3 linked regions of the Macaca mulatta genome follow. The protein of the gene in region 2 interacts with the protein of the main gene of each other region in a biochemical or structural test. Links are inferred from orthologs where the notes say so. Each region holds a gene or a part of one and is shown on either strand. Other genes may lie near its edges.

Region 1 (3,654 bases), about 30 Mb from region 2:
AAATGAATAATCCTGTGGAAGCCCTCCATGTTTCTTTAGTTGTGACCTGCGAGGTTCATGTTGTGGAACATTATAGTTTCAGTCTGGAAAGTTTCCAATGTGGCCTGAAAAAAAGTCTCTCTTCCCAAATGTAAGTTTATTTTAATGTGTGAAAATGAAAGGTTTGTGCCAAGATAATTTTGTCAAAAAAAAAAAAAAAAGAAGATTCCTTAGACCAGTGGTTCTCAAAGTGTGGCTTCAGGACCAATAGTAGCAGCATCCTTTGGGAATTTGTTAAAAATACAAATTCATGAACCCTTAACAGACCTCTGAATTAAAAATCCTGAGAGTTTGGCCCAGCAATCTGTGTTTTAACAAGCCCTCCATGTGATGTTGATGCATGCTTAAGTTTGCAAACCACTGACTTAAGTCATAACATATAGCTTCTTCTATAAATAAAAAGATACTGAAAAAAGACAGTGATAAAATGAGTAAACAAACTACATTAAGTGTATATTCTGAAAATTACCAATAACACTTCTATTGATCCATTTCTATGGTTCAATTGGTAATAAGTTCATAACTTCTATAACTCATAGTTGTGACTTCATTAGACATATGAGAAATATTTTATCATTCTCCATGATGTAACATATATCACTGTTCTTAAAACTATTAATCATTATATGGTAGTTTTTCAAGTATGGAAATGGTTTTAAATAAGATATTGATGAAATGTATACAAAATTAAAATAATATATCTACCTTGAACATAAATTCTTGCTTGATGTTTATCCTTTCCTCTAATGTTCTCAGCCTCACATTCATAGATGCCTTCATCTTCTAGCTGAATATTGAAGATCTTAAGAACAGCCCCAGAGGTGCTAATCTCAGCAGTGCTTGGCATTGGTTCTAGAACCTTCCGCCATCGGATATCCGGAACAGGACTTTAAACAGAAGATACCAGTGCTAAAGTTTCACACACTTAAAAGACAATTACTTTATGTTTACAGCTAAACAATTATTTATTTCCTAAAATGGTACTATTTCTATATATATTAATGAAAGTGTCAGTATACTTACTTTCCAAGTGCAAAACATTCTAAGGTCACATTTTGGCCCATCAGTGCATATACATCCTTGAACTGAACTACAATATCAGCAGGATATGGTTTTGTTGTTCCTAATATTAAGAGAAACACAAATGTTCACTAATTATTAGGCACAATAGTAGTTACTCTTAAACATGGTAATTCTGTAGGATTAGAGCTGCTTCAATATGGAAGCTTTTCTCTGTACAGGTACTGGTCATATCATAATGGATAGACTTGTTTGTTTATGCACAGTATGAATATAGTATAACTCCCCAGCTATATTGGCTCATTCTGACAGCTGCATAACCAATGTGACTTAATTTACTTAAAAAATTCCTGTTTTGGCCGGGCGCAGTGGCTCAAGCCTGTAATCCCAGCAGTTTGGGAGGCTGAGATGGGCGGATCACGAGGTCAGGAGATCAAGATCATCCTGGCTAACACCGTGAAACCCCGTCTCTACTAAAAAATACAAAAAAAAACTAGCCGGGCGAGGTGGCCGGCGCCTGTAGTCCCAGCTACTCGGGAGGCTGAGGCAGGAGAATGGCTTAAACCCGGGAGGCGGAGCTTGCAGTGAGCTGAGATCTGGCCACTGCACTCCAGCCTGGGCGGCAGAGCGAGAGTCCGTCTCAAAAAAAAAAAAAAAAAAAATTCCTGTCTTTAGTGAACAACAGATACGTGGCAAACATTGTGATCACTGCTGCATGGAACTCAGGAAGATAGAGAAAGAAAATTAAGGAGAAGGAAAGAGAAGAAGGAGAAGAGAGTAGAAAAGAAAGATGCAAGGCAAGAAACTAAGGAGAAAAGAAATGCCCAGAGATAAAGGCAAAGGGAAACAAATTGAAAAGAGAGAAGGAGAGAGGGAAAGAAGGAAAACATTTACTCAGACAACACAGCACTCTTCAAAATAAACACTTATTTAGCATATCAGTCCTGAAAGATGTGTTAATCCTTCAGGCTTACAGAGAAAATCAGGTTCAGAAAGGTGAAAGGCATTATTTAGGAACACAAATTGAGTGTGTACCTCACACTGTAAAATACTAAAGAGACAAATAAATAAATAAATAATGATATATAACCCAAACCAAAATGGGTACTCTGAAAGAGTGACTGATGAGGAGGGTAGTTAGAAGTACGTAAGGGCTATAGGACTCTGAGGCAAATATGGCATTTAAATTCGACCAGTTCAGGTTGAGCAAACAGCATATTATGACAAAGCTCCAGGAGTGTGCAAGGAATTTTAAAAGGTCTAGGAACTCAAATGATGCTGAAGTATATGAGCTGGAACCCACAATCTAGAAGGACTGAAAAAATGATAGAAAGATTTTGAGACGAATTTTCTCAATAAGTAATGTATTAGTCTGTTCTCACTCTGCTAATAAAGACCTATCTGAGACTAGGTAATATATAAAGGAAACAGGTTTAATTGACTCATAGTTCCGCATAACGGGAGGTCTCACAATCGTGGTGGAAGATTAAGGAAGAGCAACGGGAAATCTTACATGGCAGTGGGCAAGAGACAGCATGTGCAGGGGGAACTCCCCTTTATACAACCATCAGATCTCATGAGACTTATTCACTACTACAAGAACAGTATGGGGGAAACAGCCCCCCATGATTCAATTATCTCCACCTGGCCCCGCCCTTGACAAGTGAAGACTATTACAATTCGAGGTGAGATTTGGGTGAGGACACAGCCAAATCGTATCAAGTAACTACCACTGGGACTTGGTAAGAGAAGTAATATGGATCATATCTTTGGTTTAAGTCAAAGACCTTGTTGGCATTTTTAAAGGATGGAGCATGGAGAGGAGAAATATATATAGAAGACAATCTCAGAGGTCCATAAAACGCTGTTTCAACACTTTAGGCAAAACAGGTGAGGGCCAACACTAGGGCATAGTTACAGTGAAAACAGAAATAAAATAGTAAATATAAATTGTATTTTAGAGGCAGAATCAACAGGACGGCTCCTTGGATCAATGTTTCTCAAGGTGTAGATTAAAGGCTCAATCATCAGAATCACCTAGGATACTGGTTCAACTTGTGGATTCCTGGGTCACATTCCAGGCCTGATGAATCAATACGTCTGGGTCCTGCATTATTCCCAAAACTCTCCAGGTGCTTACATACTAATTAAGAGCCACTGGGTTAGCTGTACCGAAGATCAGTGGAAATTGGGATTTGATAATAAATCATGCTACCTTGAGTTATTAGAAATAAAATTGTGTTGCTAAATAAGCTAAAGAAAAGGAGAAGGTTTGGGGGAGAAATAATGTGTATTTGTGACATTTTGAGCTTAACGTCTTTGAGAGCTTTTTGGGGGGACAAGTCCAGGATACAGGAAGAATTGAGATCTAAACACAAGAAAAATTTCAGAGCTGTGAACTTGAAGTCTCCTGCAAAGGTATACTGTTGAAAATGTATAAGTGGGTGAGAATATCTAGGAAAGATTAGAGGAAAATATAAGAAAGAAGAATATTTTGTGAAGAATATTCTATGAAATTTGTCAGAGAGGCAGAAGGGAGATGAAAAGTTCAGGAAATTAGGTGAAGAAAGAAAACTTCATGAAAGGCAGAAGAGG
Region 2 (3,654 bases):
TGGAAGAATCACCTGAGCCTGAGAGGTCAAGGCTGCAGTGAGCCGTGATCATGCCACTGCACTCCAGCCTGGGTAACCAGAGTGAGACCCTGTCTCAATAAATAAATAAATAAATAAATTTTAATATGGAGACTTCCATAATTATGCATTTTTCAAAAGTTCTACCTTTTAAGAACAAGTACACATCTGTGCCATCTACTTTACCTGGTAGAGCTAAAAAAAATAAGTATCAAATGTATAAATAAATCTGTTTATATCAATATCACTATTAATGTATTATTTTTGAAAGATCTCTAGTAATACTATAGTCCTCTTACAGATGAGGAAAGTATGGCTCAGAAAGTTTATGAAACAGTATCAAGGATACATATATAATAAGACCTAAAGCTATAATTCAAGTCTAGGTCTGTCTGGCCCCAAACCTCATGCCCTCTCCACTGTGACACAATACTTTTTAGATGCCTCCCATTCTCATGACCACTTATTTAGCTGCGGGGCCTGAGGTTTCTATACCATGCCCTACTATGCCTCTATTTCATATCTATGTTTATATCTTTATCTGCATATCTTTAACCCTATGACAAACCCTGTGTTAGAAAGTGGGCATTTGGCTGGGCGCAGTGGTTCATGCCTATAATCCCAGCACTTTGGGAGGCTGAGGCGGGTGGATCATGAAGTCAAGAGATTGAGACCATCCTGGCCAACATGGTGAAACCCCATCTCTACTAAAAATACCAAAAAAAAAAAAACAAATTAGCCGGGCGTGGTGGTGCAGACCTGTAGTCCCAGCTACTCAGGAGGCTGAGGCAGGAGAATCACTTGAACCTGGGAGGTGGACGTTGCAATGAGCCAAGATCATGCCACTGCACTCCAGCCTGGTGACAGAGTGAGACTCTGTCTCAGAAAAAAGAAAGTGGGCATTCAGTAGCAAGGCAGAGCCCCTGACCTCAAGAACGTGATAATCTAGTGAAGGAGACAGAAAAGTAAAAGGCAATGACAGTAAAACATGGTAAGTGCTAAGATAAAAGTGGTTATGAGATGTTAGAGGAGCAAACAAGAAGAATCAGGGAAGGCTTTCAGGAGGAAGTAATATTTAAAGAAAGACTAGGAAGTCATCCAGGTGAAGTGTAAGTTGACTTGGTTCCATCAGAGAAAACAAAGCCCTGGAGGTAGGAGAAAGGATGGCACATTTGGGGACCTACACCTTATTTGGTATACTAGAATAAAGGCCGGGCATGGTGGCTCATGCCTGTAATCCCAGCACTTTGGGAGGCCAAGGTGAGTGGATAGCCTGAGTCTAGGTGTTCAAAACCAGCTTGGGCAATGTAGCAAAACCCCATCTCTACTAAAAGTATAAAAAACAAAAGTATACTAGAATAAAAAATGTGAGCCGTGTGGCCAGGTAAGTAGATAGACCAAATCACGAAGAGCTTTGTTTGCCTGTGAAGGTGTTTTGGAATTATGGAGAGCAACTGCAGGGCCATCAGCATGGGAGTGCTATAAAAATATGCTAGATAGAGTCTGCAGATTGAAAGAGTGGGAGGAAAGGACGCAAGTGACTGGTCAGTAGGCAGCTGCAATAATGTATGGTCTCATTTATACTTGCTAAAGGATATGATATGGTTCTGAGGTAGTGGCAGCACACAGAGAGTGGCTAGATTCAAGAGATAGGAGATTTAGGATACAGAAATAAAACTCATATTTGATTATATAGACAAGGTTGAGAGTGACAATTGAAGTTTCTGACTTGAACCAAGAGATAGAGACAAAAGGCAATGAGAACATTGTGGGAGGGAGATGAGGAGTCCAATTTGGACGTGTTGAGTGTTGGGTGTCTGTGGTACATTCAGGGAGAGATGTGATTTGCAAAAGCAGGAGAAACAACTAAAAGTTTAAATTCAGGAGTTGTCACCTTATGGGTGACACTTCAAACCATGGACATAGATGAAATCTAAGAAGATTATGTAGAATGAGAAAAGAAATGAACATAGGACAGAAAATATTATTATAAAAACAGTAATACTATTTTGCCTTTCACTTCAGGAGCTATAGAACAAATACTAGTATATACTACCGCTGAAGTCAAGACTTGAAGTTTTGACCTTAGTTAATGTTAGTAATAAAAGTCTAAACAAGAAACATAATTCACTATCAAACCCACATTCACTGAATATGAACTTGCTCAGCATCCTTCACTTTCTAGACTCATAGGTATGCACCACTCTGCATATTTATCAGGCCATTTTCACTAACTTTTCTATCTGAGATCCTATTTAAATTCAGAGAAAAAAATGGAGAATCAAAGTAGTTTTACAGACAGGTTAAGCCAGGAAATCCTTTCTCCTCTTTTCTCCATAAGGGCACACAGAAAGTATCAATGCCACACAAATAAAGCAAACGCATCATCTACCTGCAGTTGATTCAGGAGTTTTTCTCAATTGATTACTTTACCCTAAGTGATAAAATCTGTATTTTGTTGCTCCACTTGTCTCTCTGCAGTTCCAGCATCTGTCCAAGGAGTAATTGCAGACAATGCATACAGCAGTCATTCCTTAATAGTAAGTTGGCAAAAAGCTGCTGGTGTGGCAGAAAGATACGATATCCTGCTTCTGACTGAAAATGGAATCCTGCACAACACATCAGAGCCAGCCACCACTAAGCAACACAAATTTGAAGATCTGACACCAGGCAAGAAATACAAGATACAGATCCTAACTGTCAGTGGAGGCCTCTTTAGCAAGGAAGCCCAGACTGAAGGCCGAACAGGTAATTAGCACAGCATAATGTTTTGAAGCACATATTGCCAATGTCTACTATTGTGTAAGAACCACAGGGCAAGAGGGATGACGCAACATTGGGAGATGGTATCCATCTCTTGATACGCTGGGAACATTCACCCTGATTTGCCACTTCCATGTCGGTTGCCCTATCCACACAGGACTCAGCCCACCACACTCTGATTCTGATTTTTCATTAATATTGGTGCTATTAGCTTCCTATTGCTACTGTAATAAAATATCACAATCTTAGTGGCTTAAAACCACCCAGATTTATTATTTTCTAGTCCTGAAGGTTAGAATCTGAAAAATAGTTTTTGGGGACTGAAATGAAGACATCAGGGCTGTGTTTCCTGTAGGGACTTTCGGGGGAGAATCCACTCCTTGCCTTTTTCAGCTTCTGAGGCTGCCCACATTCCTTGGCTCGTGTCCCCTTCCCAACGATGACATTGCTCCAATCTCTGCATGGGACCTTACATCTCTTTCTCTGCTCTCCTGCCTCCCTCTTCCATCTTTTAAGGACTCTTGTGATTACCTTGGTCACCAACTGGACAATCCAGGATAATTCCTTCGTCTCAAGATCCTTAACTTAATCACATCTACAAAGCCCTTTTTGCCACAGAAGGTAACATATTCACAGGTTCTGGGGATTAGGACATGGACATCTTTGGGGCTATTCAGACAACCACATTGGCCTAATTGATTGATAACTTATTTAGTCAGTACATAGGTCTGAAGGCGGGGATGGTTATGTTGACAGGGACATAAAGATAAATCAGGCATGCTTCTCGTCCTTAAAGAGCTGACTGGCGAGACAGACACATGGACAAATAATGGCAATGCATTGTGATAAAGAGTACATATAAGAGAGGGATGT
Region 3 (3,633 bases), on a different chromosome or scaffold from region 2:
ACTGCCACGCCCGTGGGACCTGCTGAGCCTGCCGCTGGGCTGGCTTGGAGCCAGGCTGCAGGGTTCAGCTGAAGCCGGGGTAGTATCAGATGAGGCAAGCAGCCCTGGCCCTCACATCCCCAAGCCCTTCCCAGACCCCAGCATCCCCCTGTCCTGGGCCACATCGGGGGAGTAAAAACCACCCAGGATTGTTAGGACCTCTCCCTCCCACTGGTGCTTGTAGCCAGCGCATCCAACATGCCTACCCCTTGCAGTTTCAGAGGATCCAGGGATGTGTAGGGTGCTCCTGAATCACCCCCAACCAGTTAGACAGGAAGCCATTAGCGTGGGGACAGGACAGTGACTAAGGGGAAAATTGACCCCCTTCTTTCTAGGAGTCTGGAGCTCTCCAGAGCCCCGTCCCCAACCCTGGGCAGCTGGGAGTGAAGGGCACCAGGCCCCAGAAAGCCCAAGTCAAGCAGCAGCTGGGCTGCAGGAGTCTGTCCTCAGAGCTGCACGGGGCAGGGCGGAGGCGTCGCAAACACAGACAGAGCCAGGGTCAGCCATAGACACATCTCTATATTTATATATTAGATGGGTCAGGGAGGTGGCAGGGGCGCTGGGCTCTCCACGCCCCCCAGCTCCACTTCTGCTCACCACACACAGAAGCAGCGAGGGCACTCGAAGTGACAGCTTTGACGGGGAGGGGATTCAGCCCAGTCCGGCTCCTCGGGGATGCTAGCCCTTGAGACTAAGGAATGTTCCTTCAGGGAAGATAGGGTGGGGTTTAAATGAGATGAGGGGGGCAGGCCTGGCCCTGAGTCCCTACTCAGCGCCCCCCACCCTCCACCCCTGCCCCTCAGCAGGTCAGGGCAGCCAGAGCCCCTCCATTCTAGAACTGCCAGAGACTGGGACACTGGGGAAGGTAAGGGTGCAGCAGCAGCAGTGGGAGATTGAACTGGGGCCACCTGAGCCCCCGAGGTCCTGTGGGAAGGGCGGCTGGGGAGGAGGCCTTGGCCTGCCTAAAGCTGGAGGCCTCAGCAAAGGAGAGAGGTGGCCAGGCCCATGCTCCACCCTGGTCTGGGCTGCCAAGGTCTGGGCTCGGCACAGTGTCCATTTTCTAACAGTCCGGCGGGAGAGGGGCAGGCAGGAGGCAGGTCCTAAAGAGAGAAGCAGACAGAAAAGGAGTCATTAGCATACCCCAGGCAGACCCGCGGGAGCCCTGACCTGAACGTCTCTCACCCTCACAGCTGGATAGGCTGGGTCTCAGTTTCCTTATCTGTAAATGGAGATAATAATAGTACCTAGCTGGAGGTACTGCTGTAAGATTAAAGGAATTAAGACATGTAAACCTCTTAGAACAATGCTTAGGGTTTTATGCTTTCATTATTAGAACAGTCTCAGCTGGGCACAGTGGCTCATGCCTGTAATCCCAGCACTTTGAGAAGTCGAAGTGGGTGGGTCACTTGAGCCCAGGAGTTGGAGACTGGCCTGGGCAATATAGCAAGACCCCAACTTTAAAAAAAAAAAAAAAATTAGCCAGTTGCAATGGCTCGTCCAGCCAGCTGGGAGGATCCCTTGCGCCCCAGGAATTTGAGGCTGCATTGAGCTATGATTGCACCACTGCACTCCAGCCTGGGCGACAGAGTGAGACACTGTCTTAAAAAAACGAAAACAAAAAAAAGATAAATAGAACTGACTCCAGGAAACTGAGGTGCAGAGAGGTGAGGTGCCTTGCCCAATATCACACAGCACTTACTAAGTGGCACAGCTGGAGTTTGAGCCCAGGTATGCACGCCTTCTTCCTATTAGGCCACACCTGGCTGAAGACAGGAAGAGACCAGAGGAGGCAAGGAGGCAGTGTGGGTGGGGGCAGGCCCAGCAGGGTCCCCACAGCTATGTGAACTGCTGATCTGGCAGCAGGTGTGAGGAGGCCTGGCAATCTGGGTCAGGCTGGGTGCTGCTGGGCCCCTCCCAAAGCAATCATGGCCCCACCTGCTTCTGCCACACCCAGAGCCGAAGCCTGGGTGACAGGGCCCCTCAGTGACCTCTTGCCTCTTTACCAGTTCCGTTCCCAGAAGGAGATTAGAATGGCTGCTGGGGCTGGAGGATGCAGGGTGTTGACAGGTGGAGACATTTGGGGCTGGAGGACTGGGTGGGCCATGAGTCTGGGCAGCACTTGGGCATTTTTTTTTTTTTGAGATGGAGTCTTGCTCTGTAGTCCAGGCTGGAGTGCAGTGGTGTGATCTCAACTCACTGCAACCTCTGCCTCCTGGGTTCAAGCAATTCTCCTGCCTCAGCCTCCCAAGTAGCTGAGATTACAGGCACACGCCACCACACCTGGCTAATTTTTGTATTCTTAGTAGAGACGGGGTTTCACCATGTTGGCCAGGCTGGTCTCGAACTCTTGACCTCGTGATCCATCACCTTGGCCTCCCAAAGTGCTGGGCTTACAGATGTGAGCCACTGTGCCTGGCCCCCCCTTTTTTTTTTTGAAACAGAGTCTCACTGTTGCCCAGGCTGGCGTATAGTGGTGCAACCTCCGCCTCCCGGGTTCAAGCAATCCTCCCACCACAGCCTCCTGAGTAGCTGGGACTAGAAGCGCATGCCTACACACCCGGCTAATTTTAGTATTTTTAGTAGAGACAGGGTTTCACCACATTGGCCAGGCTGGTCTCGAACCCCTGACTTCAGGTGATACACTCGCCTCAGCCTCCCAAAGTGCTGGGATTACCAGAGTGACCCACTGTGCCTGGCTAATTTTTGTATTTTTAGTATAGATGGGATTTCGCCATGCTGGCCAGGCTGGTCTCAAACTCCTGACCCTCAGGTGATCCACTCATCTCAGTCTCAGTCTCCCAAAGTGCTGGGATTCCAGGCATGAGCCACTGCACCCAGCCCCCGGGCACTTCTGTTGTCACCAGACACACCGAGCATGGGTGCAGGGTAAGCTTGCTGCTATATGGAGGCACATACAAATACAGATATAGATATTGATATAGATACAGATACAGATAGAGATATAGATAGATATAGATACAGGTATTTAGTATCAGCGTATCTGTGTGCCGGCCATGGGGACACTCACCAGGCCCCAGGGTGCAGGGATGTCTGTCTGGGTTAGGGGGCCTCTAGCGCCCCAGGCTGGAAGCGTGCTGTCTCCTGGAAGATGAGCTCCTTCAGCCGCTCCTTAGGTAGGTCATCCAGCTCCATGGCGAAGGTGAAGGGCTCCTCGGCCACTGGCTGGGGTGGCAGAGACAGCAAGGCTCAGGCCTGGCATGGGGGATGCCTACTTACCCCCCTGCCCCTGGCCCTACTGCTGCTGGGGACTGGCCCACCTCATCCGTCGGGTCATAGTACTGCTCCAGGTAGGGGTGAGCCAGCGCTTCCTCCACTGTGATCCGTTTATTGGGGTTAAAGGTTAACATCCGGTCCAGCAGGTCAAGGGCTATAGAAGGGCAGGAGTCAGGGGTCACAGGGAAGACTGGAGAAGCTCCCAGAAGCATCACTTTGCCTGTCTCCTCCAGCTGCTGCTGGGCTCCCGTACCCTCCATGGCACCCAGGGTTTATCCCACACCCGTCCTCATGTCTCTCAAACCTTTGGAGTCTGACTTGGGGAAAAGCTTGGCCCAAGCCACCTTGGTCTTGGAGGGC

What was found.
Region 1: the proteins of PTPRB (region 2) and CNTN1 form a complex in vitro, tested with the Homo sapiens proteins (2 studies listed by BioGRID). The link is inferred for Macaca mulatta from reciprocal best matches to the Homo sapiens genes PTPRB and CNTN1.
Region 3: of the proteins of PTPRB (region 2) and MAPK3, one has a biochemical effect on the other in vitro, tested with the Homo sapiens proteins (2 studies listed by IntAct). The link is inferred for Macaca mulatta from reciprocal best matches to the Homo sapiens genes PTPRB and MAPK3.

Annotation. Positions count from the first base shown.
Region 1 is NC_133416.1:47,834,838-47,838,491, reverse strand, and holds part of CNTN1 (contactin-1), read right to left. Parts: intron 1,163-3,654; coding exon 1,063-1,162; intron 927-1,062; coding exon 745-926; intron 1-744. UniProt on the Homo sapiens protein: Contactins mediate cell surface interactions during nervous system development.
Region 2 is NC_133416.1:77,650,652-77,654,305, reverse strand, and holds part of PTPRB (receptor-type tyrosine-protein phosphatase beta), read left to right. Parts: intron 1-2,499; coding exon 2,500-2,766; intron 2,767-3,654. UniProt on the Homo sapiens protein: Plays an important role in blood vessel remodeling and angiogenesis. Not necessary for the initial formation of blood vessels, but is essential for their maintenance and remodeling. Can induce dephosphorylation of TEK/TIE2, CDH5/VE-cadherin and KDR/VEGFR-2.
Region 3 is NC_133425.1:28,444,668-28,448,300, reverse strand, and holds the end of MAPK3 (mitogen-activated protein kinase 3), read right to left. Parts: coding exon 3,578-3,633; intron 3,428-3,577; coding exon 3,318-3,427; intron 3,223-3,317; coding exon 3,100-3,222; 3' UTR 3,068-3,099; intron 1,140-3,067; 3' UTR 539-1,139; downstream 1-538.